4 linked regions of the Pelodiscus sinensis genome follow. The protein of the gene in region 1 purifies or fractionates together with the protein of each later gene. This does not show direct contact. Links are inferred from orthologs where the notes say so. Each region holds a gene or a part of one and is shown on either strand. Other genes may lie near its edges.

Evidence for each region.
Region 2: the proteins of CUL4A (region 1) and BRWD1 purify together in Homo sapiens (affinity purification with mass spectrometry; 3 studies listed by BioGRID and IntAct, with this or other methods). This does not show direct contact. The link is inferred for Pelodiscus sinensis from reciprocal best matches to the Homo sapiens genes CUL4A and BRWD1.
Region 3: the proteins of CUL4A (region 1) and COPS7B purify together in Homo sapiens (affinity purification with mass spectrometry; 8 studies listed by BioGRID and IntAct, counting the BioPlex papers as one, with this or other methods). This does not show direct contact. The link is inferred for Pelodiscus sinensis from reciprocal best matches to the Homo sapiens genes CUL4A and COPS7B.
Region 4: the proteins of CUL4A (region 1) and SNRNP40 purify together in Homo sapiens (affinity purification with western blotting; 3 studies listed by BioGRID, with this or other methods). This does not show direct contact. The link is inferred for Pelodiscus sinensis from reciprocal best matches to the Homo sapiens genes CUL4A and SNRNP40.

Annotation. Positions count from the first base shown.
Region 1 is NC_134711.1:237,496,957-237,504,591, reverse strand, and holds the start of CUL4A (cullin-4A), read left to right. Parts: upstream 1-4,629; 5' UTR 4,630-5,193; coding exon 5,194-5,347; intron 5,348-7,635. UniProt on the Homo sapiens protein: Core component of multiple cullin-RING-based E3 ubiquitin-protein ligase complexes which mediate the ubiquitination of target proteins. As a scaffold protein may contribute to catalysis through positioning of the substrate and the ubiquitin-conjugating enzyme.
Region 2 is NC_134711.1:188,051,976-188,059,520, reverse strand, and holds the start of BRWD1 (bromodomain and WD repeat-containing protein 1), read left to right. Parts: upstream 1-4,535; 5' UTR 4,536-4,684; coding exon 4,685-4,748; intron 4,749-4,896; coding exon 4,897-4,955; intron 4,956-5,155; coding exon 5,156-5,185; intron 5,186-5,346; coding exon 5,347-5,406; intron 5,407-7,545. UniProt on the Homo sapiens protein: May be a transcriptional activator. May be involved in chromatin remodeling. Plays a role in the regulation of cell morphology and cytoskeletal organization. Required in the control of cell shape.
Region 3 is NC_134720.1:49,896,273-49,903,369, reverse strand, and holds the start of COPS7B (COP9 signalosome complex subunit 7b), read left to right. Parts: upstream 1-4,087; 5' UTR 4,088-4,163; coding exon 4,164-4,235; intron 4,236-7,097. UniProt on the Homo sapiens protein: Component of the COP9 signalosome complex (CSN), a complex involved in various cellular and developmental processes.
Region 4 is NC_134735.1:17,396,196-17,403,969, reverse strand, and holds the start of SNRNP40 (U5 small nuclear ribonucleoprotein 40 kDa protein), read left to right. Parts: upstream 1-4,764; 5' UTR 4,765-4,767; coding exon 4,768-4,902; intron 4,903-5,358; coding exon 5,359-5,488; intron 5,489-7,095; coding exon 7,096-7,189; intron 7,190-7,774. Other genes in the region: ZCCHC17 (zinc finger CCHC domain-containing protein 17), read right to left, coding at 1,995-2,060. UniProt on the Homo sapiens protein: Required for pre-mRNA splicing as component of the activated spliceosome. Component of the U5 small nuclear ribonucleoprotein (snRNP) complex and the U4/U6-U5 tri-snRNP complex, building blocks of the spliceosome.

The DNA.
Region 1 (7,635 bases):
TATAGATAGTAGTATAAACTGGGGATGTGAAAGATTAACCAATAACTGGTGGGGGCTGGAGCAGCTGCTCGCCTGCCATAGGCAGGTGGCTACTCCAGTCCCACAGGGGGCTGGCTGTGGACAGGAGCTGCTCTCGGGCAGAACATCCCCCCATCCATGGCAAGCCTGGGCACCTCACAGGCAGGGACTGCACCAATGTCTGGAGCAGCCACTGTGCGCGGGGAACCCTGTCCATCCTCAACAGGGGCTGGCGGGGCTTAGGGGCCAAGAGCTGGGAGCCAGTAAAAGCCCCAGCCCCTACCCAGATACTGCTTAATTAGTTAACCAGTTAAATGTTAGATTAACCTAATGTTTAACCGTCTAATTAACTGGGATTTTACATCCCTAAAATAGTTGTATGAAGGTTGAGTTTATACTGACTTTGCTAGCATTTTTTATGTAGCCTGTTGTAAAACTAGGTGAATAACTAGATATGTTGATGCACCCTCTGAGAGATTATTCCATATCTTCAGGATTACGTATACATCTGGTTCAAAACCAGTGGGTAAGTCAGGCCCAGCCTTAGGGCAAGGTGGGCAACGCAGTTGCCTTGAGCCATGTGCCTTCAGGGCCCTGCACTACCCAGTGCCCGCCCACCCGCTCACTACCCTGGCTGGGTGCTGCCCAGCCACGCAGTGCAGCCAACCACAGCATGCTGCCTTGGACCCTGCAAACTCTTTTGCCGGGCCTGCGTTAAGTAATATCACTTATTGGATCCATCTCTTACTGGGTGATACACAAGCTTTTAAATTACAGAGCTTTTCTTCTGGTCTGGGAAATGTATTCAGTGCCTCAGCTATATACAAGTTGAAACAGATTGTTCAGCACAAGTAGTTAGTACATATTTCAAGGGACCATTCAAGGTGAGGTGGCCTATTAACTCGGGATGTAAATATTAGTTTAAAAAGTTAACCATTTAAACAATTAAAATTATATCATTTAACTAGTGAACTGAGATTGCTTCGGTGAGCTGGCTAAGAGTAGCCAGGACTGGCGTTCCAGGGTACGTCTAGACTACAGGCTTTTGTCAACAAAAGTTTTGTCAACAGATACTGTCGACAAAGCTTCTGTCGACAAAGAGCGTCTAGACTACATCCAGTTCTGTCGACAAAGCAAGCCACTTTGTCGACATGACAGTGTGGACGCAAAGGACAGTGTAGATGCAATAATGCCTTCTGTCGACAAAACTCTGTCGACAAAAGGTGTTATTCCTCGTAGAATGAGGTTTACAGCTGTCGACAGAACTCAGTGGCAGTGCGGACGCAGGTATAGTTTTGTCGACAAAAGTGGACTTTTGTCGACAAACCACTGTAGTCTAGACACACCCCCAGTGGGGCTGGCCAGATACAGCCCACAGCTGTTCTAGGCTGGCTGGCACTCTGTGGATAGGGCTGGGGTCTCACCTGCAAGCCATGGACAGGAGTGAGGCTACTCCTGCCCACTGCAGCTGGGACTGCAGACATGTTTGAGGTCCTGCCTATTACCTACGGATGGGGCTGGGCTGGGGCTGCTCCAACATGGCTGTGACCAGGATCCTGCCTGCCTGTTCCATGGCAGAGGTTCTGCTAGCAGGCCTGACCATTGTCTCTTGGGTCCTGGCTGGCCACTGTGGTTGGGGCAGAAGCCCCATGAGTTATATTACCCACTGCAGCCAGGGCCCTACCTACATGCTTGAAGTGGCCAGGGCTAGGGTCTCTGGCTGGCCAGCCTGATGTGGCCAGGGTTAAGGGGTAAGATCTGGTTAACAGTAAGCCTAGTATCAGTTAACCATTTAAACTTTTACATCCTATTATTAACACCCTTCATGGTACATTAAGGTAAAAAATTTCACAAATGACCATAAACATAAAAAATGTCCAGTTCTCTACTGTTGTTATTATTGATACAGCTTCTTCTATGGTAAGAGTGCTGATTTTAAACAGTGTGCTGTCTACATCTGCTCTGAGTAGATTTAGATGACATGATGGTTAAAACATGGGTTGGTCTATACCTGTGCTCCTATATTCACTATTTTTTAAGCTGCTACAACCATAGCAAGAGTGGGAAATTAAAACAACAACAACAACAAACAGCTAGTGAAGCCCTGGGCCCTTCTTGTCAGAGACACCATTTCATTTAGTGGGTGTTCATCACTCTGAAAATTAAGATGTGTTTCAGGCTGAGAAGAGGAAACTAGAACTCCAAGAAATGTTGGACTTTGTCTTTAATAGGATGAATAGTATGAACTTTTTTTATCTTGGCCAGTTTTATTCACAAGATGCATGGTGTTACATAACCACCTCAGGTACCTATATAAGAACAGTCATACTGGGTCAGACAAAGGTCCATCTAGCCCAGTATCCTGTCTTCCAATAGTGGCCAAAGAGAGGTGTCCCAGAGGAAGTGAACAAAACTAAGGATGTTAAATTTTGATTAATTAATTGAATAGTTGATGGGATTTCCATCGACTATTCGATTAGTCGATAAGAACTTCCACGTTCCTCCTTTGAAATGTACAAGAACCCCAGTGGGAGCTCTTGTGCTTTTCAAAGTGGAAGCCCTGGGGTCAACGGGGGACCCCTGCTAGGGACTCTTGTACATTTCAAAGCTGGCATGCCACCTGGAGCCTGGTCCCAGGCTCTATGCAGCATTCCAACTTTAAAATGCACAAGAACCCCAGTGGGGGCTCTTGTGCATTTCAAAGCGGAAGCGACCATGTGGAGCCTGGGGCCAGTGTGGGATTCTGAGTCTCCCACTTACCCCAGGCTCCATGTGGCACTTCCACTTTGAAATGTACAAGAGCCCCATCAGGGACTCTTGTACTTTTCAAAGTTAGCTGCACTCCTGCCCCCTTCCTCGGAGCTAGAGGGAACCAGCTTTTAAGCCGGCTCCCTCCAGCACCCGCATTCTCTTCCCTTCCCTTGCTGCCTCTTTGTGATAAAGGCAGCAAGCCGGGGGGGGGGGGGGGGGGAAGAGGAGGGGAGTGACTAGTTGACTATTTGATAGGCTTTTGCTTATCGAATAGTCAACTGGTTGATTAGTCACTTACAACCCTAAACAGAACAGGATCACCAAGTGATCCATTCTGTCGCTCATTCCCAACGCTCTGACAAACAGAGGTTAGAGACACCATTCCTGTCCATGCTGGCTAGTAGTCATTGATGAACCTATCCTCCATGAATTTTATCTAGTTTTCGAACCCCTTTAAAGTCTGGTCTTCACAACATCCTCTGGAAAGGAATTCCATGTGCTGTGTGAAGAAATACTTCCTTTTGCTTGTCTTAAACCTGCTACCTATTTCATTTGATGACCCCTAATTCTTGTGTTATAAGAACAAGTACAGTAAACTTCCGATAATCCGGCACCTTTAGGACCCAGGGGGTACTGGATTATCAAATATGCCGGACTATCAGAAGGGGGGGGCTATGAGGGGTCTGGGGTGGGGGGAATGCCACCCCAGACCCCTCATAGCCCCCCCTTCGGATAGTCCGGCTCTGCCCCAGGGATCCCCGATTCAGACGCTGCTGATCAGTTTTAGCAGCAGCTGAATCGGGGACGTCTGGGCCAGAGCAGCTGGGGTGCTGCCAGGTTGGTCCCGCAGCGCCGAGGGGCCACGCTATGGGACCAACCCGGCAGCACCCCAGCTGCTCTGTCCCCGGCTTCCCCGATTCAGTTGTTGGTCATTTTCAGCAGCGGCTGAATTGGGGAAGCCCGGCACAGAGCAGCTCCAATTGTCCGGCTGCCCGGAGCACTTCCGGGTTCCTGATGGTGCCAGACCATCAGGAGTGCCAGAGCTTTGGATGCCGGACCAATGGAGTTTTACTGTACATAGATTTCCTTATTTACTTTCTCCATGTCAGTCATGATTTTATAGACCACTATCATATAAGAACATAAGAACGGCCATACTGGGTCAGACCAATAGTCCATCCAGCCCAGTATCTTGTCTGCCGACAGTGGCCAATACCAGATGTCATGGGGGAGGGGGGAACACAACAGGTAATCCTGATGTGATTCCTTCCTTGTTCCTGTCACCCACCTCCAGGGAAACAGAGACTAGGAACACCATTCCTACCCATCCTGGCTAATAGCCATCGATGGACCTAACCTCCATGAATCTATCTAGCTCTTTTTTGAATCCTGTTAAAATTCTAGCCTTCACCACATCCTCTGGCAAGGAGTTCCATAGGTTGACTGTGTGCTGAGTGAAGAAAAAACTTCCTTTTGTTTGATTTAAACCTGCTGCCTATTAATTTCACTTGGTGACCACTAGTTCTTATATTGTTTGTTGACTAAAGATTTAATACACCTGTGTTTAATGATGTTCAAAATTTGAATGTATATTCTAATACAAATAGCAAATTATTAAGTGTGACTTAGTAGTTTTCTTATTTTTGAGTCAATTATGATTTTTTTTTTTAGGCCCTAAATTTTTCATAGGCCCTAGGCACTGTGCCTACTGGCTAATCTGAACAGAATAGCAAAAGAATGACAGCTACGCTGAAACTTGCCAACCCTCCCTGATTTGCCTGGGGTCTCCCAAGAATTAAAGACTAAGCTTGAATGAAAGATTACAGGTCATGTGATGAAGTCTCCAGAAATCCGGCCAACCTAAACTGACAACCCGGTGCCTAGGTCAACTAAGGCCGCTTGAAAAACATGGAGCGCCTCAGTGCTGCTCCTTCACCGGGCTGAAGTAACGCGGCTGGAAACCGCTCCCAGCGGGGTCCGCGGAGAAGGGCCGGGAGGAAAGACGCCGAGCGGGGCGCTCCCCGCTGCTCGCCCTGGGCCCCGTGCTCCCAGCCTGCGCCAGCCTCGAGACCCCTTCGCTTTCTCCTGGGCCTCCAGGGGGAGCCCAGCGACGCCTCCTCTCACTGTGTCCCCGGGCCGGAACTGCTCTCCCGCCCGCCCCGCCGCGGAAGGGTCCGAGTCCAGCCAGGGGCCGCCCCGCAGGCGCCTCCGCTCCCCCGCGAATCCCCTGCCCGGCCGCCTCGGGGGCCATCTTGTGCGCGGAGCCGGCTGCAGCCGCGGCCTGTCGCCCTCCCCCTCGCCAGCGGGGCGGGGTTGATGGGGCCCCCGGAGCCGGGGCGCCGCGGGGGGAGGCCGGGCTGGCGGTGACTCTCCGCAGCCGCTGCCAGCAGGCGGCCGAGGCCGGGCAGCGCGCAGGGGGCGGCCATGGCCGGCGAGCCGCAGAGGAAGCCGCACCTGCCGGCGCTGGGGGAACACACCAACGGGCTCACCAAGCCCGCCGCGCTGGCGGCAGCCCGGGCCGGGGGCGCTGCTGCCGCCGCCGCCGCCTCCAAGAAACTCGTGATCAAGAACTTCAGAGGTGGGCCTGGGCCGGGGAGCGGGCGGCGGCTCGAGGCGTCCCGTGTCCAGCCCCCCTCCCGGCCGGGCCCCCGGTGGACCCCGCGGCCCTGACCTCGGCCCCCTGCTGCCCCCGCCCCTTCCCCGCTGAGGGGGCCGCCGGGCCCGGCTGGGAGGGGCCCTGGCTGCGGGCTGCTGCGCACACTGACAGGCGGGGGAGCCAGCCCAGGTGCCCGGCCCACCCTGTGGTTTGGGGGCGCTGTGCAGCCTCCAGCTCGAGCCCCGGGAGCCCGTGCAGCCTGCACCCTCTGAGAGCAGCGCCGCTCCCGAGGTGGGGTGGTGTCGGGGCTGCTCTAGTTCCTTCCTCCCCAAGAAATAGGTGCCAGGCTGGGTTTGCTCTGGAAAGTGACTGTGAAAAGGCCTTAACTCCGCTAACTTTTGTCTCAACAGCTACAAGGGCTCTTACTCAGCCTGCTCCTATGTATAGGCAGTGACTTTTTTTGGCAGACAAGGGCCTGATCCTGTAGCCCCAAGGAAGTTAATTCAGCTGACTTACATATGCGAGGTTCTGAGCCTAGGGGCCCTAGCATTGCCAGATGGTTTCAACAAAAATACTGGACACACTTGACATTACATCACAATCTACATTACATCTTATTTAGAAAATACCGGACATTTATACTTTCTCATTTGTATTTTCTCAATTTGTTTCCTTAACAGAAAGCTCAAATACTGGACTGTCCGGTTCAAAACCAGACACCTGGCAATCCTAAGGGACCCTCATCTGTTGCTCCCAAAGACAGGCTAATCTTACCCAAGGGGCTGGAACAATTTTTTGTAGTTAGGAATGTGTATGATGGAAGCCCTGTATTTGGTGTTTGTTGTTAATAGTCATAGCCTGGGATGCCAGAGCACTTCCATCACTTCTGGTTCCAGCATCACTGCTACTGTCTTACAGATAGGAGATATGATAAGGATGTTAAATATCGGTTAATTGAGCAGTTGATTAACCTCATGAGTTCTTTTCGATTACTTGACTATTTTATAGTCCCCAGGAGCCGGGCCAGCAACCAGCGTGCTTTAGCCCCACTCCTGAGGAGCCCCTTGGCAGCAGCGTGGGGTGCCAGGCGGGGGCTGGTCCATGAGGGAGGCCAGTTTAAAAACCATCTCCCCTCACTGACTGGCTGCCTGTCACCCTGTGCTGCTGCTTCTCACACAGAGACAGCAGCGCGGGATGGCAGCAGCCCCTGACTGTGCGTGTGTGTGTGTGTGTCTGAACTCCCAGACCCAGTATGAGCCGGAACTGGGCCAGTCTGCCTGCCCGCCTGGCTCCTAATACACTTTAAATTCAGAGCCACAGAGGGGGTTGGTTCCAGACTAGTGAAAGCCTGGACTGAGCTGGGCTGCCTGCCCACCCGGCTACTAATACACTTCAAATGCAGAGCTGTAGCAGGGGTTGGTCCTGGACCCAGCACAAGCCAGGACTGAGCTGAGCTGCTAAAAAATTTACTGTCGGGGTTGGGGTGGGGAATGCACATAGTCTATAGCAATTATCTATAAGCTTTTGCTTATCGATTATTGACTATACTATTACACTCCTAGGAAATGAGGCATAAAAAAGTGAAGTGATTTGTTGATGGTCACACAGCACATCAGTGATGTAGATGGCAACAGAACCCAACCATTCTGTCAGACAAGTCCAGTGTCTGGCTACTGTACTGTCTTAGTATTGCCTTTTCAGCTAAGTGATGCAGTTTCTGTATAACAGTTTGTGTTGCAGTCTTTCTAACGTTTCAGTTAAGAGCAAGTTCTGAAATCAAATATATGTTATGTGTAGAAAGTTCTATTACATGCAGTGTAGTTAGAGATAACGTATAGCAATGGTTTGGCGGTCAGATACTTTTTAAAGAAAATATATTGAAATAAAACTAGTATAGACAGTGTTAAAGCTAATTAAGAATGGTGTCGAAGATGTTGCAGTAGACCAAACTAATTTGCTAGAATTTGGAATGCTAAATTAAGCTTTATTAAATAAAAAAATCTTAAATTGTAATACTTAATTAGTCATTAGTGCATTCTGAAATAGTATTCTTGGACATGTTTAACAAATGTTGTCCAGGATCATGCAGGCTCTTCTATCTGTGCAGATGTATTTTATTGGGGATCTGTGTATGTGAAGAGGAGCAGCCCATGTAAAACAACTTGTGGCAGCTGGGCCTTTGTATGCACCATTCTGAGATAAAAACAGCCCTTAGTGGCTTTTGCCAATGTTATATGGTATTGCAAATATTCCTTTTTTTTTTTTAAATC
Region 2 (7,545 bases), about 49 Mb from region 1:
GGCGGAGGGGGCTCTTGTGCAGAGACAGAGAAGTGGGACCAATGGCTGCTGCTGCTATATCCCTTTAAAAATGCAGTGTGGCAGCGGGGCAGGAGGGCTCTTGTGCTGAAATAGAGAAGCAGACGGGCGGCCACTTAAAAATGCAGAGTGGCAGCATGAGGGTTGTCTGAAAGCCCACGGGGGACCAGAGAATGAACCTATCTTTGTGCACTGGCTCCTCTCTGTCCCTTTAAGACTGTGTGTGAGGATGATCAAGTAGTTGATAATGCTACAGGATAAGCTCCTGCTTATCGGGTAGTCAACTACTTCACATCCCTAGCAAGAAACCTAGTACAAACTGCCTGATTCCCCAGCATTTAAGAAATGTGTTTCTTTCCATGAGACTATATCCATCTTTGACAGTCACTCTCTCTCTGTCCATTGTCACAATGAATCGCACATCCCTCAGAAGTATGCTCACTGTAGCAACCTAGCCAAGCATGACAAATTCCTATGCTTAAAGCTGACCCTGAGGGGAGAAAAAGTAATCATTTGAGCCGGACTCCAACGCAGGACAGGAAACCTGCCCTTCAGGTGACTCCTTGGGCAGATCCATGTTATCCAAAGAGAGCATCCGATCCTCCAAAATGCAAGGAAAAGAGCCATTACTTCCACTACAAAGAGAACCACATAAGTGGTCTCCTACCAGGTTACTGTCCTCCATATGGGTGAGCACCCCCTTGATGTACCTCTGGCACCATCCACATGAGAACCTTTGCTGTGCTCCACCAAAAGGAAAAGGAGTCCAAGCACATGTCCAGGCAAGTCTCCTCCTCTATATCACTGACAACTCTGGTGAGAGAGACAGTGCTGAAGCACTCACCATTGGCCATGTACTCACAACAGTCTCCAGCAGCTACATTGGCACCAATTAATAAAACCATGATGGCACGGACCACTCTGAGCAAGATGACACAAGTCATCTATATAGACACTAGTATCATCTAAATCAGTGCCATCAACATCAACAGTGCCGAAACTGCAACAATTCTTACAACATATAGGCTCCTCGGTGCCAGTCACCCCTGTTTGGCACTGATGGCTCTCCCAAGCACACTAGCATTGCCCATCTTATAAGAACAGCCATACTGGGTAAGATCAAAGGTCCATCTAGGTCAATATCCTGTCTACTAACAGTGGCCAATACTAGATTTCCTGGAGGGAGAGAACAGAAAAGGTAATCACGTGATTCCTCCCCTGTCATCCATTTCCAGCCGCTGACAGAGGCTAGAGACACCATTCCTAACCATTCCGGATAATAAGTATTTGATGGACCTAACCTCCATGAATTTATCTAGTTCTTTTTTGAAACCTGTTAAAGTCCTGGTCTTCACAACATCCTCTGGCAAGGAGTTTCATACTGTGTGAAGAAAAACTTCCTTTTGTTTGTTTTAAATCTGCTACCTATTAATTTCATTTGGTGACACTTAATTCTTATGTTATGGGAACAAGTAAATAACTTTTCCTTATTCATTTTTTCCACACCAGTCGTCATTTTATAGACCTCCATCATATTCCTCCCCTCCACCCCCACACACTTTAGTCTCCTCTTTCCTAAGCTGGAAAGTCCTAGCCTTTTTAATTTCTCTTCATATGGGATCCATAGCTAAATTAGTACTCAATTTTGTATGTATAGTTGGGATTATTTTTTCTAATGTGCATTACTTTACATTTATCAACATTAAATTTCATTTGCCATTTTGCAGCCCAATCACTTAGGGTGTATCTACACTGCACCGTAACTGGAAATAAGATATGCAATTTGAGCTATGTAAATTGTGTGTCTTATTTCAGTGCTATTTCAAAATAGTTTATTTCATCATTTGGTGCTGTCTATACAGTGCCAAATTTCAAAATAAAGTGCTATTCCGAAATGTTCCTTACTCATTGTAGAGTGAGGTTTACAGGGACATCAGAAGAGTGAACTTGAAATAATGGGCTTGCTGTGAAGACATGGGATAGCTATTTTGGGATACTCTTGTATCCCGAATCTTGAGCAGTTTACTATTATTATTGTATTAGGCAAAAAGACCAGTGAACAGGAAAGTCACTTTTTTGTCTCAAAACTCTTCTCTCAGAAGAAAGTCATTTTTTGTGTCCCAGCCCCAGCACAATCTTGTTGGCCGATCAATGGGAGCTGCTAGGGCTGTGCTTGAGGCACAGGCAGTGTGAGGGGGCCCCCTCTCCAAGGGGTGCACGGCACACAGAGAATATATGGCCCCTGCAGCTGGCTGCCTTGAGTGGCGTGCAGGAGGCAGGGAGCCTGCCTGAGGGTCCCATTGAGATGCTGGCCAAGAGCTGCCTAAAGTAAGTGCCTCTTGGCCAGAGTCTGCACTCGACAACCCATCCTCTCCTGCACCCCACCTACTTGCCCCAGGTCACAAACCAAACCCTCTGCACCCCTGTCCCAGGTCACAACTCCCTCCCAGACCATCCATTCCCTCCTATATACCCCTTCGCCAGGTCAGAATCCTCTCCTACACCTATACTGCTCCTTGACCCTCCACTCCAATCACCTGCCCCAGGTCACAACCCCTTCCTGACTTGTGTCACCCAAACTCTATATCCCCTCCTACACCCTTGTATCAGGTTTCAGCCCCTGAACCACCTCCTACCCTCCTCCAGTTTAGAATTCTCTCCTGCACCCATATCCCCTCTTAGGCCCAGTACCCTCTCCTGCACCCCAATCCCTTGCCTCAGTCACAATCCCCTCCTTCATCCAAACTCCCTCTCAGACGGTACACTCCTTCCTGCCTCCCAGTCTTTACCCCAAGCTCCCTTCTGCACCCAACCTCCATCCCAGATCCCACACCTCCATTAATATAATGGAAGAGTTCGGCCCTTGACCACTTAAATTGTTGGAGTGACCCCACATCAAACATTTTTGCCCACCTCGATGTACATGACGGAGTATCATCCATTTGAAGATATAACAAGAAAGTGCAACTTGATTGATGAATATTTCTTTGTGTGTTGTATCCTGTAAATAATTTAACCTCATACTTAACTTTGCTTCATTTATTGTTGCTGTTTGGTTCCAGTTAATATGTTATTCAGTACAAGTTACTCCTGTTGGAATCCTGCAACAGTATTATGTCCCCAAATGCAACAACTGCAGAATTCAAACAGGAATAACAAGTTTATGTTGTATAATTCTTCTGGAACCCATTTTGTTAGCAACAACTAGTGTGAGAAACATTAAAACAAGAATATTACTAATAATAACCCAAGGTCCAGTTTAATTATTGCTTGAATCCTTTGTAGATCTCTAAACTGCACTGTCAAATTGACTTCCTATTTCTGAGGCAGGCCAAAGGTGATTTTATCCTGATGCTTAGATCTATAAGAAACAGAAGGGAAGATCTGTCTGTGGCTAACAGGTGAATTTCTCCTTTCATTCTCTGAATGAAATAACACCATGGTGGATGGAGTGGTAGCAGCCTCATGGAAATGCAAATCGTGTTTTGTTAGTCTTTCAGGTGCTACTAAACTATTTGTTGTTTAAGTTTTTCCTGTTACAGACTAACTCTGCTACCCCTCTGAAGCTTTGGAAAATATTTTTGACACTTCTGGGGAATTGCCTGCTGTTGGTAACCCCCACTGGCAAAGCACAGCACCACCTATAGCCCTTAAATAGTCCTTAAAACATCACCAGCTTTCCTGATCCGAACCTTATTTGTAAGTTCTCATAGCCAAGCTGAAGGCAGCGTTAAGGGGAAAGGTGCTAAGCAGGAAGAGAGAGTGACCTGAGCATCTATGCAAGACAGAATGTCGGGGGGGGGGGGGGGGATTACAAACCCTCTGGGCTCTTAGCTAGAAGCCCAGCCTAGGGCGGCGCTTGGCCCACCTTGAGCTCTCGGAACCGTCAAGCCAGAATCACCCTGGAAACAACACGGGGCCCGAAGGGGTCCGAGCAAGGCGGGGTCCTTCCTGCAGCCGCCCGAGGCGCTAGTTCAGCGTCGGCGGCTCCTGCGCGGTGTCTTGGGGGCGGAGGGGAGGCTCGGGGCCCCACAATGGGCTGCCGGACTCCACATGGCGGAGGGGAGCTGCCGCCACAAGCGGGCGCCTCCTGCCTCAGGGCCCCGCAGATGGAGGCGAGGGGGGAGCAGGACGGGCCCCGCCGCCGCGGTGCAGCTGCCGCAGGATCCGGCCACACGCGCCCCTCTAGACTCCAACTCCCCCCCCCCCCCCCATTTCGCCAACGTAAGGACGTTCTCTCGGTGACTCATCACGCCCTCCCTCCATCCGCCTCCACGGCCGGACCTCGTTTTCTCCTGCGACCACAGCAGCGACGTCCCTTGCGCCGCATTAGATCCAGCACCCATAGGCCGCCCGCGGGCTGTTTTTCCCCTTTGGTGCGATCAAAGAATACAAACATCCCCGTCCGCCGTCAATCCCAGTCTCCCCAGCGAGGGACTATTTTTTTTCGTCCGCCTCCTTCCCCCGCCCCCCGCGGAGGACAGCCTCGGTGCCGAGGCGAGTCGCTCCGCGGCAATGGCGGCGGGGCCGAGGCTGAGCTAGCGCGAGGAGGGGCGGGGGAGACGGGCGCTCGGTGGGGGAGGAGGCGCTGAGAGGATTATGCCGAACCGGGCCCTGCCCGCGCCACACGCTGCCTGAGCCCGACTCCCGCTGCGCCGCCCCCGACATGGCCGAGCCCTCGGCCGCCTCCTGCTCCCCCGGCGGCTCGTCCCTGCCGCTCATTGAATCAGGTAACAGCGGGGCGCGGGAGGGAGCCGGCCGGGCGCCGCCGGTTCCTGCTGCTCCCCCGCCGCCATCTTCCTGATCATGATTATGAATTATAGTCGCTGAGGGGCTCCCCCGCCCCGAGCTCATCGCTCTCTCCGTCTCTCCCCGCAGAGCTCTACTTCCTCGTCGCCCGCTTCCTCACCACCGGGCCCTGCCGGCGCGCGGCGGAGGTGAGTAGAGCCCGGCAGTGCCCGCCCGCCTGCCGCCGCGGCGGCTGCTGCTGCCACCCAGGGCTCCGGTGCCTTCCTGGCCCAGAGCCCTGTGCAGCTGCGGCGGCAGCAGCAGTAGCAGCCGCGGAAGAGTCGGCGAGTTTGGTGGTTTCCTCCCCCTCCCCTAACTCGTGTGCATCTGTTTCTTCCTTCCCCTGCAGGTGCTGGTTCAGGAGTTGGAGCAGCACCAGGTGCGTGCGTGTGAGACGCTCTGATGCCTTCTCTTCTCGCCCTTTCCCCTTTTTTAAAGCCACCTATTAAAAACAAATGAAAAACAAAACAACACACATTGTTTTGATGTTGGTCTTTCCACTCTTTTAATCACACTTTTTTTTTTTCTTTCTCAATCTAGTTACTTCCTAAAAGGTTGGATTGGGAAGGAAATGAGCATTGTAGAAGTTATGAAGATTTGGTGAGATTTAAAAAAAAAAAAAAAAACCTTTTGAATTAGAATAACAATGTTAGATGCTTCAGTTAATAAAAGAAAACCTGCAACAATTATTTTATCCTGAGTCTGGCTTGATACAGGAGGCTGATTTTTAGAAGGGGTATTTGATTTATTTACCTTAAATTACCAAACAAAAACATAAGAGGTTAGAGGTGTTTTTAATTGGAGGATATTGTTATGTAGCATAGGCGGGACTTGTGACTGCCACTAGACCTTTTTCCTGCCTACCTATGGGGAAGAGCCAATCTGTTAAGAGGCTTCATTTCTGTGTTTCACTAGGAGACTTGTTAAAGAGGCTTTGATTGGACAGTGTTTATTTTCTTACTGGTTTCCTTCATCTGCTGATTTCAACAGATTAAGAGAAAACAAAATCACTAGTACAGAAATTGGCATGTGGGTTTGTAGTAGTCTGTTTTACTGGCTATAGTTTGTTGTTGTTGTTAATCAAAATATTCCAAAAGATGCCCTTTGGTTCAGGGCTGCACAACTTGTGCCAAATTAATTGCAATAAATGTATTTACAACAAATTCAGCATATAGATTAACTGTTTTTGGTGTTCTGTCTTACTATTTCTAAAATACTGCATGATGTGTGGCTACGTGAATACGAATTAAAGGGAGGACAACATTTATAGTTTACTTATATTTTTTTAAAAGATATATATAGTTCCAAGTAATAAACCTGCCTCAGAATTCCTCAGCTAATCTTTGGAGTTTTACAATAAAATTCTGTTTTTCTTATGCTTTTCCATACTTTGACAAAGTACAGTGGTATATAGCAGAAGGTATAGGGGAAGGCATGAAACTACGTACACAGAATTAAAAATGGAAAAATATAGGTTAAAAGTGAAAAGATAGCTACAAATGTAATTTTGAATTTGGCAGTTCCCTTAATTGAGCAAATTTATATAGTGCTGCTTTAAATCAGGATAGGTCCTGCTCCCTTTATTTGCATGAAGTCAGCAAGGTTACTTTCCAAGATCTGGCCTAAATTTAGGTAAGCACAGTAAGTTTTCTTCTAAAGGATGTTAAGCCCAATTCTTCTGCAAAAGCTTTGATGCTGGCAAACTCCTATGCTGAGTCCCATTGACTTTGGTTGGGCTGTATTATGTGTGTGTCTCCCTCCTCCCCAACAACAAAATCCCCATCTGTGCTGCTAATATTTTAAGTAATAAAGCTTTCTATTTTTAAAAAAATATTTGCCATTTATGCTGTTTAGGTACTTAAAATAGGCTAATCAGTTGCATGCTGTTTGGGTTCCAGGAACAGCTGGCCAGTGTTAAGGCTCAAATCCTGCAATGTTGACCATTTCGGTGTATCCCTTCTTATATGTGAAGTGCTTATTACAGAACTGCTCTCTCAAAAACTCAAAGCCGACAATTAAAAAAAAATATCATTAGGCTTCTTAAAACTTCCTTTAACAAAACTTATGGTAGATATAAATTACATGAAGGTACAAGTATTTCTTATAAACTGAGTTTTGTAAATGTATTTGAAGGTGAAAATTAAGCTTTCTGCTTTGAAGAAAGTTTGCCACATCTTAATATAAACAGATACAAGAGTACTGACCAAGATGCTTCAATCACTGATGAAAAAGATGTAAATGTACTTATTGGCGTACCAAATACTGTTTAGGAATCAGTAACATAATTATCTTATATATTCAGACGTTTGTGTGCAGTAACACTGACTCTTTTCAGTGAATTCATTTCTCAAGACTTCAGACACAAAGTAATTCATAGACTTTATTTCAGTGTTTGATTATTCATACTTTCTTTTCAGGCCAAAAAACAATATAAATGTTAAGTTTTAGAATTTTAAAATGACACTAACTTAAAAATCCAGTACTGCAAGTCATTTAATTAATGCCACTTACTGTCACTAATAATAAACATTCTATATAAATGTCCTGTTTATTACTTTTTATTTATGTCTGTTAAGTCAGTTCCACTATCAGGTACTTAGTGCTTCAGTATTTGGGCTTTAAACACTGCAGGGGATTTCTTAAAATTTCAGTGTTAAAAGTCATTTTTATGTTTAAATTAAAGTGAATTTTCTCTTCTAAATTTTATATATTTTTAAAATAAAACTTTAAGCTAATTTA
Region 3 (7,097 bases), on another chromosome or scaffold:
CTGTTTAGGATAGTCAAGACAGAAGCAGACTGTGAGGGACTCCAAGAAGATCTCACCAAACTGAGTGATTGGGCAACAAAATAGCAAATGAAATTTAATGTGGCTAAGTGTAAAGTAATGCACATCGGGAAAAATAACCCCAACTATACGTACAGTATGATGGGGGCTAATTTGGCTATGACAAATCAGGAAAGAGATCTTGGAGTTATTGTGGATAGTTCTCTGAAAACTTCCACACAGTGTGCAGCGGCGGTCAAAAAGGCAAATAGAATGTTAGGAATTATTAAGAAAGGGATAGAAAATAAGACACAGAATATCTTACTGCCCCTGTATAAAACTATGGTATGCCCACATCTTGAATACTGTGTACAGATGTGGTCTCCTCACCTCAAAAAAGATATTTTGGCCTTGGAAAGGGTTCAGAAAAGGGCAACTAAAATGATTAGGTGTTTGGAACGGGTCCCATAGGAAGAGAGGTTAAAGCAACTAGGACTTTTCAGTTTAGAAAAGAGGAGACTAAGGGGGGATATGATAGAGGTATATGAAATCATGAGTGGTGTGGAGAGAGTGAATAAAGAAAAGTTATTTATTAGTTTCTGTGATGGGGGGACTCACCCCCACACTCCCGGACTCGGGAACCGTGGCCCCGTGCCCTGCGCGGGGGGTCAGCTGGCGCTGGGAGACCAGCGCGGCGAGGCGGCACAAGCAGCAGAGCCAGGGGAACCCGGCGCAGGCCACGCGCAGGTGCGGATCAGCCGAGAGGCGGACCGACGGGTGCTAGGACCCGAGAGGTCGGGGGCAGCCCGAGGAAGGGCGGGGGCCGGCAGGACGCCAAGCGGGGAATTCAAAAGGGAGGAGGGAGGGACGCCAAGAGGGGAGGTAAGGAGGGAGCAGGGGAGATTCTGCTCTCGGCCTGCTCCACAGGTCCAGCGGAAAGACCGGACGGGACCAACACCGGACCAGAGCCTGGAGAGGACCTGACCGACGTGGGCGGCTGACGCCGCAAGACGGGAGACGGCCAAGGGGATCCCGGCGGCAGGGACATCTGGGAAGCCGGCGATCCGAAGCGGCGGCGCAGGGATCCGGACGCAGCCGAAACCTGCTGACGAGGCCTGCGGGCTTGTCGAGAGCGGACCGCAGGGAGTGGACCGTGGTAGTGGTGAGGTAGAAGCCGGGGACAGGGGCGAAGCGGAGCAGGAGCCCGCGGACTGGTGGCGCCCTGCGACCCCCTAGCAGGCCACCTGGTTACAGTTCCCATAATAGAAGAACTAGAGGACAACAAATGAAGTTAATGGGTAGCAGGTTTAAAACTAATAAAAGAAAGTTCTTCTTCACACAGCGTGTAGTCAACCTGTGGAACTCCTTGCCAGAGGAGGCTGCGAAGGCTAGGACTATAACAGAGTTTAAAGAGAAGCTAGATAATTTCATGGAGGTTAGGTCCATAAAAGGCTATTAGCCAGGGGATAGAAATGTGTCCCTGGCCTCTGTTTGTCAGAGGTTGGAGAAGGATGGCAGGAGACAAATCACTTGATCATTGTCTTCGATCCACCCCCTCTGGGCCACTGTCGGCAGACAGGCTACTGGGCTAGATGGACCTTTGGTCTGACCCAGTACGGCCATTCTTATGTTCTTATGTTCTAACTTGTTAGTCTTGCATGGATTAGCTGTGTAAGAATATTACACGTACCTTTGAAAGTGCAAAGTTTAAGAAATCCTAAGGATAGCATAACGGCCAGCTTTGCAAGCCACTTGATCCGTTTTGGTAATCCTTCTGGGGACAAACAGACACTTAGAGCAGGCGGGAGAGGAGGGTATGGATGCAGAATAAGGCAGCCAACCCAGATGTCATATTTAAATTCCAGGGCAAAAAAAGAATTAGCATGAACCTGGTTTACACTGTGTTTCTTTAAAGAAAATTCAAAAGCTATTGTTTGCCAGGCTGAAGCAATTATTCTGAAATATGAGTCTTTCCCTTATTGTTTTGGTCTATACTTATTTTTATTTCAACAAAACAAGTTATGTACTATATAAAAATATTTAAAAAGTACCTTAAATTTATATTTTAAAATGATAAAAAATATTATAAATAAGCAAACAACAATTTCACTCGTCAGATTATTGTATTATATTCAAACAAGACCTGAAAAAATATCTAATATATAAGGAGAATGTTTGTATGTTTGTGTGCTAATAACGTGGCCACTGTAAGAGCTACTGCAACCAAACTTTCCATGGGATTACCTTTCCTCCAGGAGAAGGTTTTAAGGTACTTTTGGCAGTGCAGGGAGAAGCGGCTTCCCAGGGTAAGCGGCAGGGACAGTCACTCACTAAGGCCGGCGGCGGAGGTGCGAGGGGAGGGGCAGCGCTCTGAGCGGCAGCTGTCCCACTCGCCTCTACCAGGCCATTCCACTGCGCAGGCCTGTCCGGGGCGGGGAAGCCCCCTCCTCCATTCCTCCTGTGATGTCACTCGGCCCGGGCCCCTCCCCTCCAGCGGTGGCCAAGGGTTGCCGAGCGGTGGGCTGAGGCTTGCGGCCGCCGCTAGGGGGCGGTTGCAGGTGCAGTGGGGCGAGCCTAGTGGGCAGGTGGTGGCAGCGCTGGGATGGGCCCGGGGTCTGACCCAATTTCCTGGTCGCAGGCTGTGGAAGAGGGGAGCCCCCAGCACGGCCCCATGGTGTGGCAGGTAGCGGGGTGAAAGTTTCGTGGTGAGTGGTGGGGTCATTGCCCCCTGCAGCACCTGCAGCCTCGGGCACGAGCTGGGGCGCACCGCCCACTCTAGGTCCCGTGCTTGCCCCCTCCCATACATTTACTAGGTCACAGTTTCTGACCCAAGAGTTCTCAATCTAAGAAGATGAGCAACTTGCACATGCTGGGCGGGGGGGAGGGGGAGGAATACAACACACAAAAGTATCCATTTTCCCCACAGGCCATTCCTCATTGGCAATGTCTTATAGGCCTCACAGTAGAACTAGTAATGTGGACGCACCGCTTACACATTCAACCTGGGGGGGATTTTTCGGACTAAGATCCTAGTGTAGACCAGGCCTAGGTATGTTCCATGTATAAAGTGAAGCAAGAATAAGAGGCAAAAATGGTTGCTGAGGAAGCATACGACTGAGGGGCTGAAGTTGGCTTCTTTGGCCTAGCAGATGGGATGTGAGCATGACATAAGCAGAGACAAAGACATGAGCTGGAAAAGGCAGTGCAATGAAGATCCGTGAAGGTGAGGACAAGAAGCCTGAATCGGATGCAAACTGGGCAGCAAGTGGAAACTGGGCAGCAAGTGGAGAGATTCAAAGAGAATGGTGTTTTGCAAGGCCATCCCTACCAATGCACAAACTACACACCAAATTGCCCGGAATTTTGTGGTGCCCTAGACAACTGCGTGCTGTGTATGGGCCAGTGCTGGCTCTGGCAGCCAACACCACCCCCAACTGGCCCTCTCAAAGGCTGTGCCAAGCAGAGCCATCTCTAGGGGCATGTGGGGCTTGGGACAGCCACTCCTCACCCCACCCCCCTATCCCACACTCACTCCACTCCTTGAACCCCTATCTATGCTCTGCCCCCACCCTACCTCTTTCTGCCCCGCTCCGCTTCTTCTTCCAAGCTCCTTCCCATGAGCAACACAGCCCAGGGCAATAGTGGGAGCCTGGCACCGGCAGCAGGCGTTCCCCCCAAACACACATCCAGCGGCAGAAGGAAGTGAAGCAACTTGGCCCCAGCCCTGTTAACTCCATTTCCTACCGCCGGTGAGTGCAGAAGCCTTTCCACCCTTTCCCCGAATACCCTGCCCAGTGATGTGGCTGAGAGCTGGGGCCGGGTCACTCCACCTCCCAGTGAATGCAGGGGCAGGCCTGACTCCTGGTGCTTCCCTGCCATGCTCCTCACAGCTCTGGGCCTGCCCGTATCAGCTCCTGCCCTCCCTCCCAAGGGAGACTGCCTAGGCCACCCAATAGTCTAGGGGCAGTGTCATTGATTTCAATGGGGTGTGGATCGGGCCCCTTGGCGTGATGGCTCCGTGACCTGGCTAACAGGCTCCTGCCCGAGCAACTGCCCAACAGCCGCGCACATTCTAGAACTTTCCCCCCAGGTCTCCATGACCCCGCTGCCCGACTCACTGGTGACGTGACTGCCGATTTACAAGCGGGGCTCCCGGCCAGGCACCAATGGGAAACAAGGTGAACTACCCACTGTCTAAAGAGGACCCGGGCGGCAGTGCTGCGAGGAGAGGAGATGATGTGAGTGAAAGGATAATGCCGATATTAAAAGATAAAATGGATTAAAAGAGTAAAGCCATGATTTGCTGGCTGCAGACAGCAGCGCAGGCAGAGCCAAAGGGCTATCACCGCAGAGTCTGTTTAAAAAGGGAAAGAAACAGCGGGAGATTTTGATCTCTTTTTTTGTAATATTGGAGCTTTATTGAGCTATTTCTCCACATTCAGCATCATCCAGCTATACCGGTCTGCAGCTGAGGCAGGAGGTTTCATGACTCCAGTCCAGTCAAGAGGCCATCTGGACTGATCTGTATAGGATCAGCTTGGGAGGAAGTGATGCTATCCTATTCAGATTTTGTCCTCGGGATCAATCCACAATCCTCAAAGTAGGTGCCATGTGTTTGCAAAAATAATCCATGGCAAATATCTAGTAATTAATATTAAGAACATAAGAATGGCCATACCGAGTCAGACCGAAGGTCCATCTAGCCCAGTATCCTGTCTTCCGACAGTGGGTGATGCCAGGTGCCCCAGAGGCAATGAACAGAAGAGAATCATCAAGTGATCCAGCACCCCCTGATGCCCATTCACAGCCCTGACAAACCGAGGCTTGAGACACCATCCCTGACCACCCTGCCTAATAGCCATTGGTGGACTTGTCCTCCGTGAATGTATCTAGTTCTTTTTTGAACTTTATTAAAGTTTTGGCCTTCACAACATCCTCTGGCAGGGAGTTCCACAGGTTGACCTGTGGAACTCCCTGACAGAGGATGTTGTAAAGGCCAAAACTGCATTGTGTGAAGAAATACTCCCTTTCATTTGTTTTAAATCTGATACCTATTAATCTCGTGTGTTGATCACTAGTTCTTGTGTTATGGGAAGGAGTAAATAACTTTTCCTTATTTACTTTCTCCACACCACTCATGATTTTATAGCCTGCTATCATATCACCCCTTAGTCATCTCTTTTCCAAGCTGAAAAGACCCAGTCTTTTTAATCTCTCCTCATACGGAAGCTATTATGTATCCCTAATAATTTGTGTTGCCCTTTTCTGAACCTTTTCCAATTCCAATATCTTCTTTCAGATGATACGACTACATCTGCACATAGTATTCAAGTTGAGGACATAGCATAGATGTAAAAAGAGGCAATAAGATATTTGCTATTTTATTTTGGATCCCTTTCTTAATGATTCCCAACATTCTGTTTGCTTTTTAGACTGCAACTGCATATTGTGTAGATGTTTTCAGAGAACTCTCCACAATGACTCCAAGATCGCTCTTTTGAGTGGTAACATTAGATGATAGGAATCAAAAGATAAATCCCATCATTCCATTATTATATATATCCCATCATTGTAGACAGGTAGTTGGGATTATGTTTTCCAATAGGCATTACTTTGCATTTATCAGCGATGAATTTCATCTTCCATTCTGTTGCCCAGTCACCCAGTTTTGTAGGAATCTTTTGCAGCTCTTCACAGTCTATTGCGGACTTAACTATCTTGAACGATTTTGTATTATCTGCAAATGTTGCTGCTTCACTGTTTACCCCTTTCTCCAGATCATTTATGAATACACTGAATAGGATTGGTTCCAGTACAGACCCCTGAGGGAAACTACAACTTACTTCTATTCTAAAAACTGATAATTTCTTTCTACCCTTTGTCTCCTATCACTTAACCAGTTACCAGTCCGTGAAAAGATATTCCTTCTTATACCATGCTGCTCATTTTACTTCAAAGTCTTTGGTGAAGGACCTTGTCAAAGGCTTTCTGGAAATCTCAGCACATTATATCCATTGGCTTCCACATGCTTGTTGACCTCCTCAAAGAATTCTAATAGACTAGTGAGGCTTGATTTCCCTTTCTAAAATATGCTGACTCTTCCCCAACAAATTATGTTCATCCATGTGTCTGACAATTCTGTTCTTTACTATTCTTTCAAATAGTTTGCCTGGTACTGAAGTCAGACTTTTTCTGGCGCACTCCTTTAGCATATCAATTGACCAGTGGCCCCACTGGTTGTTTAGCAGGCTTCCTGCTTCTGATGTACTTAAAAAAAATTGCTATTACTTTTTTAGTTTTTTGCTAACTGTTCTTCAAATTCTTTTTTGGCTTTCCTAATCATATTTTTACAATTCATCTGCCAGAGTTTATGCTCATTTCTTTTTCCTCATTAGGATTTAACTTCCACATTTTAAACCAGGCCTTTTTGTCTCTCATTGCTTCTTTTTTCTTGCTGGTAGCACCTTTTTTTGGTTCTCTCACTATGTTTTTTAATTTGGGTACACATTTAAGTTGTGCCTCTATTTTAGTGTCTTTAAAAGTTTCTTTGCAGCTTGCAGTGTTCGCTTTTGGCACTGTACCTTTTAATTTCTGTTTAAGTTCCTCATTTGTGTGTAGTTTCCCTTACAGGGTTAGGCTGCTGTATTGTTTTCCACAGGGATGTTAAATCTAATTATATTATGTTCACTATTACCAAGTGGCCCAGCTGTAGTCATCTCTTGGTCCAGATCCTGTGCTCCACTTAGGACTAAACCAAGAATTTCCTCTCCTCTTGTGGGTTTTAAGACTAGTTGTTCCAAGAAGCAGTGATTTAAGGTGTCAAGAAACTTTCTCTCTGCTTTTCATCCTGAGATGATATGTACCCATGCAATGTGAGAGTAGCTGAAATCCTCCATCATTATTGAATTGTTTATTTTACTATTCTCTCTAATTTCCCAGAATATTTCACAGTCAGTATCACCATTCTGATTGGGTGGTGGGTATTACCATCCATAGAATTTCTGTGTAACAGTTTGGTTCATTTAAGATGTTTACTTCATTTGATTCTATGCTTTCTTTCATATATAGTGCTACTCCCCCTCCAACAAAACCTCTTCTGT
Region 4 (7,774 bases), on another chromosome or scaffold:
TAAGGCGCTACATAACAATTATTGTTCCATCACACACACAAACAAAAGCACAGGATTATTATTTCCTGCCCTGCAAGAGTACAGACAAATCTTGAAAAATGGTATTTTTCAAAGAGCGTCTATTTGCTATATTTAGCAGCAGGAGTTAACATTTTACCATCTGAATACATTTAATGCTGAACTTACAGCCTCTGTGGAACAGACATTGGACAGGCAAGAAAAACATCCCCAAATCTGCAAACCAGCATGTCTCTGAAGGACCTCATCCTAGCACTAAGGTGGAGTTAACCCTTCCCTCCATGCTCAGATTACAGGCAACCCCCAAATTCGATGCGATCAGTTCCTGGGGAAGCGTCACAAGTCAGAGGCGTCGTAACTCGAACCCACATTTACAATAGGCGCCGTGCACGGTCGTAAATGCGGGCTAAGGACGTAAGTCAGGGGGTTTCAGCCCCTTCCACACTTACAAAAATGGTTGTAAGTGCGGGGGGTTGCAACTCGGGCAATCGTAACGTGGGGGTTTCCTGTAATCGTAGGCCTCTCTAATGAGACTGCCCACTAGAAGATGGGTCAGTGCCAACCGTGGCAGTGGTGGTTTTGAAATAGATACTGGTCCACTAGTATCTAGACTGAGACCCACCAACTAGTTTCACATAATTATAACAAACATCTGATGGTAAAACTTGCCCTCCCTAATAATTTTGCCACACTTACGCAAATAGACAAGTGAGTTTGCACAGAACTTCACTGAAGTTGATTAGGTGCTGCATGGATCCACCCGTGTAGAGCATTATTTTGGAATCAGGGCCTAAGGCTGGATTTGAACCAATTGAAATTTGAGAGGCTCTTTAGCTCATTGCCAGTCCCGTGATATCTCTAATTCTAGTCTTTGTCCTCTCCCATTCTTGAAGTTAAACATACTACGTAAGGCTCTTTAGACGATAACAGAATATCACTTCCCTTTTTAATTACAAGAAAGGAACTAAGGGCACTGCGGATTTTTATGCTAAGTTCAAGCATGGAGTGAACCTAAAATATTGAAATTCAGAACTTCAAGTTGTGCCAGACTGAGCAACAAATTATCTTGATAGCAGCTATTCAAAACAGCTTCCTACTTTAAGAGCCAAAGTCTTTTGTATCTCACAGCATGAGGCAGAAGGAAAGCTTTATCCCCAAGCTCAACACAATGTGAAAATTAAAGCAATAAGTCTTTCAGATTCCCCTACACTTGGGTCGAAAATTAGACTTGGCTGAGAGAAATTATCAGCATGAATTTTCTGCAGACAGCTTTTCCCATCCTAAGAGTGGACTAGCATGTTTATGAACACACATTCTTAGCTAATCTTCTCAAAATTAGTAGATATTGCTTTTCAGAATGACATTAGCAATGTGACTATTTTGAAGTGGTTTTATTTTTAAGACATCTAATGAAATAACACCTGCAATAAAAGTCTCAGCCGGTTCTCAAAACATTAGTATTTACAAAAAAGCGTATTACATTTTTAATCTGAGATTGCCAGTAGAAGGCAGCAGCACTAGAGACTGAAGTCGACTTTACCTCCCTGTCAATGCGCATCAACTCTAGCATAAAGGAGTGAACAAAAATAATGAGCCCAGAAGCCAAGATCACGAGAATGGCTTTAAAAAAACCCATCACTCTGGCACTGCCCCTTTTGATGGCCCTCGGGTCTCATTTCCGTTTCTCTCTCTCTAACCTACATATTCTTTAAACGCTCTACCGAGAATGCCAACAGGAGGTCAGTGTGAGACAGCTGTGACAGTAGTGGGTTTTGTGATGTGGACATTTGCTCTCTATGAACCAGAGTACACAACACAAGCTCATTTTACATTGGTCACTTAGTTTTACTGCCTGTATCTAGGGTTGATTCTGAACTGAAGATTTAAAAATGAAAGGCTCTCTATTATCTCTCAGTATCTTGCACCATTCATGTCTCCCACGCTTCTTTTGTGACCCTAAGCAACACCACACATACCTCTCCTTGGAAGACATCATAGAGTTCAGGTAAAGTCTCCATTGCCTCAGGTCTCACAGACTTCATTTGGGAAGTTTTCTAAGAGTATGCATTCCACAATTCTTTCCCAACCTTTATAGCTTACTTTGTTTCCATGTATTAGATGTCCCATTTATTGCTGTGGAGCAACCCTATTCGTAGCTGAAATAAAGAAAGACACCATTTATTGAAAGAAATATCTTCATTAGTGATAAAAGAAATAAACTCTGGGAAAACTTTTCAGGGATGGTTTTTATCTGCACTGCTTTCACTCTCACTAATTTCTAAATATCTGATACCATAGGGTAAGTCTACACAGATGTGTTATTTCAGAATAAGTGATGTTATTTTGAAATAACCAAATACGCTTCTACACAGCAAGACATTATTTCGAAATAATAGCGAGCTGGAAGACTTCTCACTCTGACTCCTGTAACCCTCATTTCACAAGGGCTGTGTCTACACTGGCACCCTTTTCCGTAAAGGGGATGCTAATGAGACTCTTTGGAATTGCAAATGCCGCAGGGGATTTAAATATCCCCCATGGCATTTGCATGAACATGGTTGCCGCTTTTTTCCGGCTCGGGGTTTTGCCGGAGAAAAGCGCCAGTCTAGACGGGATCTTGCGGAAAATAAACCCTTTTCCGCAAGATCCTGTCTAGACTGGCGCTTTTCTCCAGCAAAACCCCGAGCCGGAAAAAAGCGGCAGCCATGTTCATGCAAATGCCGTGGGGGATATTTAAATCCCCTGTGGCATTTGCAACTCCGAAGTGTCTCATTAGCATCCCTTTTACGGAAAAGGGTGCCAGTGTAGACACAGCCAAGGAGTAAAGGAAGTCAAAAGAAGAGAGTTCTTCCTTCGTCTACCTGCTGTGTAGACAGCGCCAAGAGACGAATTAAGCTATTTTGACTAGGGATGTAAGCGACTGACTACCTGATAAGCAAAAGCTTATCGGATAGTCAACACATTAGTCAACTAGTCACTCCTCCTCCCTCTCCCTCTCCCCTCGCTGCCGCTATCACAAAGAGGCAACAAAGGGTTGAAGAGGAAGGGCGCTGGGGGGAGCCAGCTTAAAAGTCAGTTCCCCCCAGCTCCAGCTCCATGGGATGGGGCGGGGCACAGCAGCAGTAGTGCTTTCTTTTTTAAATGTTCAAGAGTTCCAGTAGGGGCTCTTGTGGATTTCAGAGACTGAAATGCTGCATAGAGCCTGGGGTGGACTCCGAGTCCCCCACTGACCTTAGGCTCCATGAGATGCTTCCTCTTTACAATGCCCAAGAGCCCCCACTGGTGCTCTTGTACATTTCAAAGGTGGAATGTGCACTAGTCCTTATCAATTAAATCCCATCAACTATTCAATCAGTTAATCAATATTTAACATCCCTAATTTCAACTTCAGCTACACAATTGACATAGCTGAAGCTGCGTGGCTTAATTCGACTTTTGTGTAGATGTGTCCATAGTGTCTTGTGCTCACACTATACGTTATGGCAGTGTAATCAAGTGGATAGAGAACAAGTTGAGGAAACAGACAATCCGAGTTCTTCAATGATACAGTTCCCAATAACTTTCAGTACAATTATGAGCAAGTTACTAAACTTTATGCCTCAGTTTCTCCCTGGATAAAAGGGTGCTATGATATATTTCAAAGAGCTTTCTGCAGTAGGGTATGTCAGAAGAGTACCTCAAAAACACTAAGTATTCAAGTACCTAGGCAGATACAGCAAAATATGAACACGTGACTATAAACTGGCTCTGGATAATAACTAGCCAATTTTGCCCTATTCTCAGAATTCAGCCTCACAGACACTTCATTCCTATTTCACAGGGGTAGCCGATGGCCTCAGAGGGGTAGCTGCGTTAGCCTGTAACTTTAAACACAGTCAGTAACCCTAGTCTGTATTTGGGAAAATGAAGAGTCCTGTGGCCCCTTGTAGACTCCACGCAGCTGACCAAGTGGTTTTTACTCAGGAGAGGTTACGCCAAAATAAATCGGTGACTCTAACAGGAGTGTGGAACTTTGGGGGGGGGGTGGCGGCCACGGACCCACAGGAAAGAGTCAGTCGGGAGCCGCACAGAGATGAGCGGCCCCAAACCCAACAACCCCTCACTGCTGGGCTCCCCACATCCCCCTCGCGCACCAGAGCCGGGGGGGGGGGGGGCAGGTTGTGTACCCGTGGGAGGGGCCGGGGGGGGCCGCTCTAGGCTCCCCGCCCCGCTCTGCGAGGGGCCACCGGGCTCCCGGCCGGCTCTCCCGCCGCTGCCCCGGGCGGTTGGAACCCGCTCGCGCCGGGACACAGGCCTGACGCCAGCGGGCGCGCAAAGGGCCCGGCCTGCGCCTGGACGCGACGCTCAGCGGCTCCCGCGGGCAGAAGCAGCGAGCCCGGACCGCGAGCGGGGCCTGCCGAGCGCGGGAAGGGGAAGGGGCTGAGGCCGCGCCGCCCCCTCACCCGCTCAAGGGCGCCGCGGCCGCCGTCATCCCACCTGCACCCCGGTCCCTTCGAGCTGAGGAAGCTTGCGCCCGCCAATCACGGCACGGCATACTCGCGCGGGGTACTTACGGAGCCAATGGGCGCGCCCGATGCTAGAACTCTCCGGCGAATCCCCTAGCCAGCATGGCCAGCGCTGCCCAATCAGCACGCTTGGCGTTCGCAGCCAATCAGAGCGCGGCATCGCGGCCCAATGGGGGCCGGGCGCGGGCGGAGCGAGGCCTAGCGCTGCAGGACGCCCGAGGCCGAGCGGCTGCCGCGGGCCGGGATGATCGAGCCGCAGAAGCGCAAGGGGCCGGTCCCGGAGCTGGCGCTGGTGGCGGCCGCGGCCAAGCGGCCCCGGCATGAGCTGCTGGGGCCCGGCCCGGGCGGGGCGCCGCCCCCGGGGGCCCTGCTGCAGGCGGTGAGCGCGGGGGGCCCGGGATGGGCCGGGCCGCGTCCCCCGCGGGCGGTGACCCCGAGGCTCCCCGGAGGGGCGGGGGCCGGGCCGGGGGGGGCCGCTCAACTCCTGTCGCAACGTGGCTCCGCCTCTTTGGGTCGTTCGTAGCCTCCGCGCTGAACTGACACCGGCCTTGGTGTGACTCGAGACCAGGCCTCTTGCTGCGCGGGGCCTCCGCCTCCCCATCGGAGGTGGGGCCCGTGGCGGGCGGGGTGTGAGACGCGCTTTGCCATTATTATTATTTTGTGTGTGTCAGAAAAGTGGAAATATGACCCGAGTTAAAACTAGTGAAGGAGTTATGGGAGGGGGGGTGTTTTCTGGCCTGCTCCCCCACACCGTCCACCTTCTGGTTCAGAGGTTTCATTAGCTCATTATTTATTATTCTGTTTCATTTCTGTCTGCATTCCCTCTGTGTTTTAGGGCCCTCCACGCTGTTCTTCCCTCCAGGCACCTATAATGCTGCTCTCGGGGCATGAAGGAGAAGTTTACTGTTGCAAGTTTCACCCTAATGGAGCAACTTTAGCATCTGCAGGATTTGACAGACTGATCTGTGAGTTTGTAATGATCAGTAGTTTGTGCTATGAGGGTGGTTTGTTTAAAAAATAATAATAATAATAATACACTGCTGGTGTAAACTGCTTTCCATTCATTCAAGTGCAATGGAGTGACTGAGCTGCTGAGAGCAATGGGGTGAAATGTTGACAGCAGGCCAGTAATGAGCTGTGCGCTTTTGAGCATATTTCAAAAGCGTTGGTAACCTCTTTAATGCCCTAAATCAGCAGTTCCCAACTGCTAGTCCGTGGACCCCTGCTTACCCTGCCAGGCCATGCCCCCAGCTCTGCTTTCTCACAACACTGTACTGTGGGATACATACTCACAGTGCTTTGCTCACACTGTCAATGACAGTGCCCTCAGCGTGAACATGCTCTGTCAGCAGAGGGAGCAAGTGTGAACACCCTCTAGGCAATTTTTGTTTTTATCAATTTTTGGGTGTTGATATACATTTTGTTAACAAAACTTGGTAATGTAGACATACCCTAACTCTTGTAAGAAGCCACATAGTATTGTTACAGTTAGAGCTCTGCAAATCCATGGATATCTGCTTTATATCCCCTGGTATCCACATCCACAGATGTGGATGCAGATATCTGTGACTCATTTTTATGAACGCAGATATACATTTTGGATTCCTGTTTGTATGAATATGGATTTAACTGCAACACTGTAGTTATGGGTTGCACAGCCATACAGGACTATAAAGGGATGAGAAATCCTTCTCCATAAGGACAGCTTGATGTGGGACTCCTTTCATATCCCATCTAATCTGTCAGCTCTCTACATTTAAGAAGGATACAAAATGAAGGGTATAGAAGAGTTAAAACAGATGTTTCTATTTATGCTTATTCATAATACAGGAGCAAAGATGACATTCAGGTTTGTTGAAAGGAAATACTTTTCTACACAATGGATCATTAACCTCTGGGACTCACTGCAACAACATGCTGTTCAACCTAAGAATGTACTAGGGCAGGGATTGTCAACCTTTCAGATGTGACATGCCAAGATTTAATTTATTCACTTCTATTTATGGATCTGTGTGCCACTGATACTTTTTGAAGTCAATAATAGTCCTATTTACATTTTAGCGGCTTCATTAATAAATAAATTAAGATGCAGATTTTTCTGTTTAGTGTGATCCTTGGTCTTGCTTTCCCTTGCTGAGTTCTCCTATTTCAGGCCCTATAGCAATCAGTTAGCCAGTAACTCTCACATTTAGGATTAAAATCCTACTGCTCATATGACTCGGGTTGTGGAACACATTATTAACCAACCGCCTCTGTCTGTTGATGGGGCGCTCAGAGAAGCGAAGTTCCCTGCACTTTGTCAGGGATGGTGCAGCAGCTGGCCTGGCAAGTGGCAGCTGAGGAACAAGTTAATAAGGGTGGCGGCCATGGGGAGACATGGGCCTCCCTACCCTTCCCCCAGATGAGGAGAACTTTCACATCTTCTGTTCCACATATTTAAAAACCTATTTAAAATGAGAGTTTGGCGATTATGCTGAATATTGTAAGTGCTTCATTTTAGTGAGCCCAGGAAGTGTAGCTGTGATGATGTGGGCGTAGAACATAGTTTTATGTGTATTTGGTTTCTTTCCAGTGCTATGGAATGTGTATGGGGACTGTGATAATTATGCCACTCTGAAGGGACACAGTGGAGCAGTTATGGAGTTGCACTATAATACTGATGGCAGGTAAATATCAGATGAAACTGACTTGAGCTGTCATTAGCCTACCTTGATGATGTTTCCAAATGAACTCTGTGAAATGTTTGGGGAGAGAGTTGGTATGAAAAGCTGCTAGATGAAGCCAGTAACCTTTGGATAAAACTTGTAAAAGGTACCTGCAACTGGCAAGTGGGGAACTAGCTGCTGGTGAATGTAAGTTGCTTTACAGCTCCTCTTCATTGCTTCAGTGCTCACCTGGTGGCTCTGAAGAGAAAAAGCAATGGTGCTCTTTGAATGGCTCCCCCTCCCAGAAATAGCTCCACACGCTACGTCTGTTGTAGAGTGCAGGAGCAAAGAGTAGAACCTAAGTGGCAAGTTCCAAGGCTCATGGATGGGAAGCAGATCTAAAGCCAGGCGTCCCGTCCCATCCCGCCCCTAGCAAGTGAATCTGTGGGAAAGTGGATGGGAGAGACAACGAAGGAACAATTCAGGATAAGAAAAGGAAAACTAGGAAGGCGATGTTGGCAGCTTTCCAGATTATCCAATGCTATCTGAGGTTTTTACAAAAGAGATGGCTCCCCCTCCCCCATCATCCTGAGCAGGGTCAAGAAG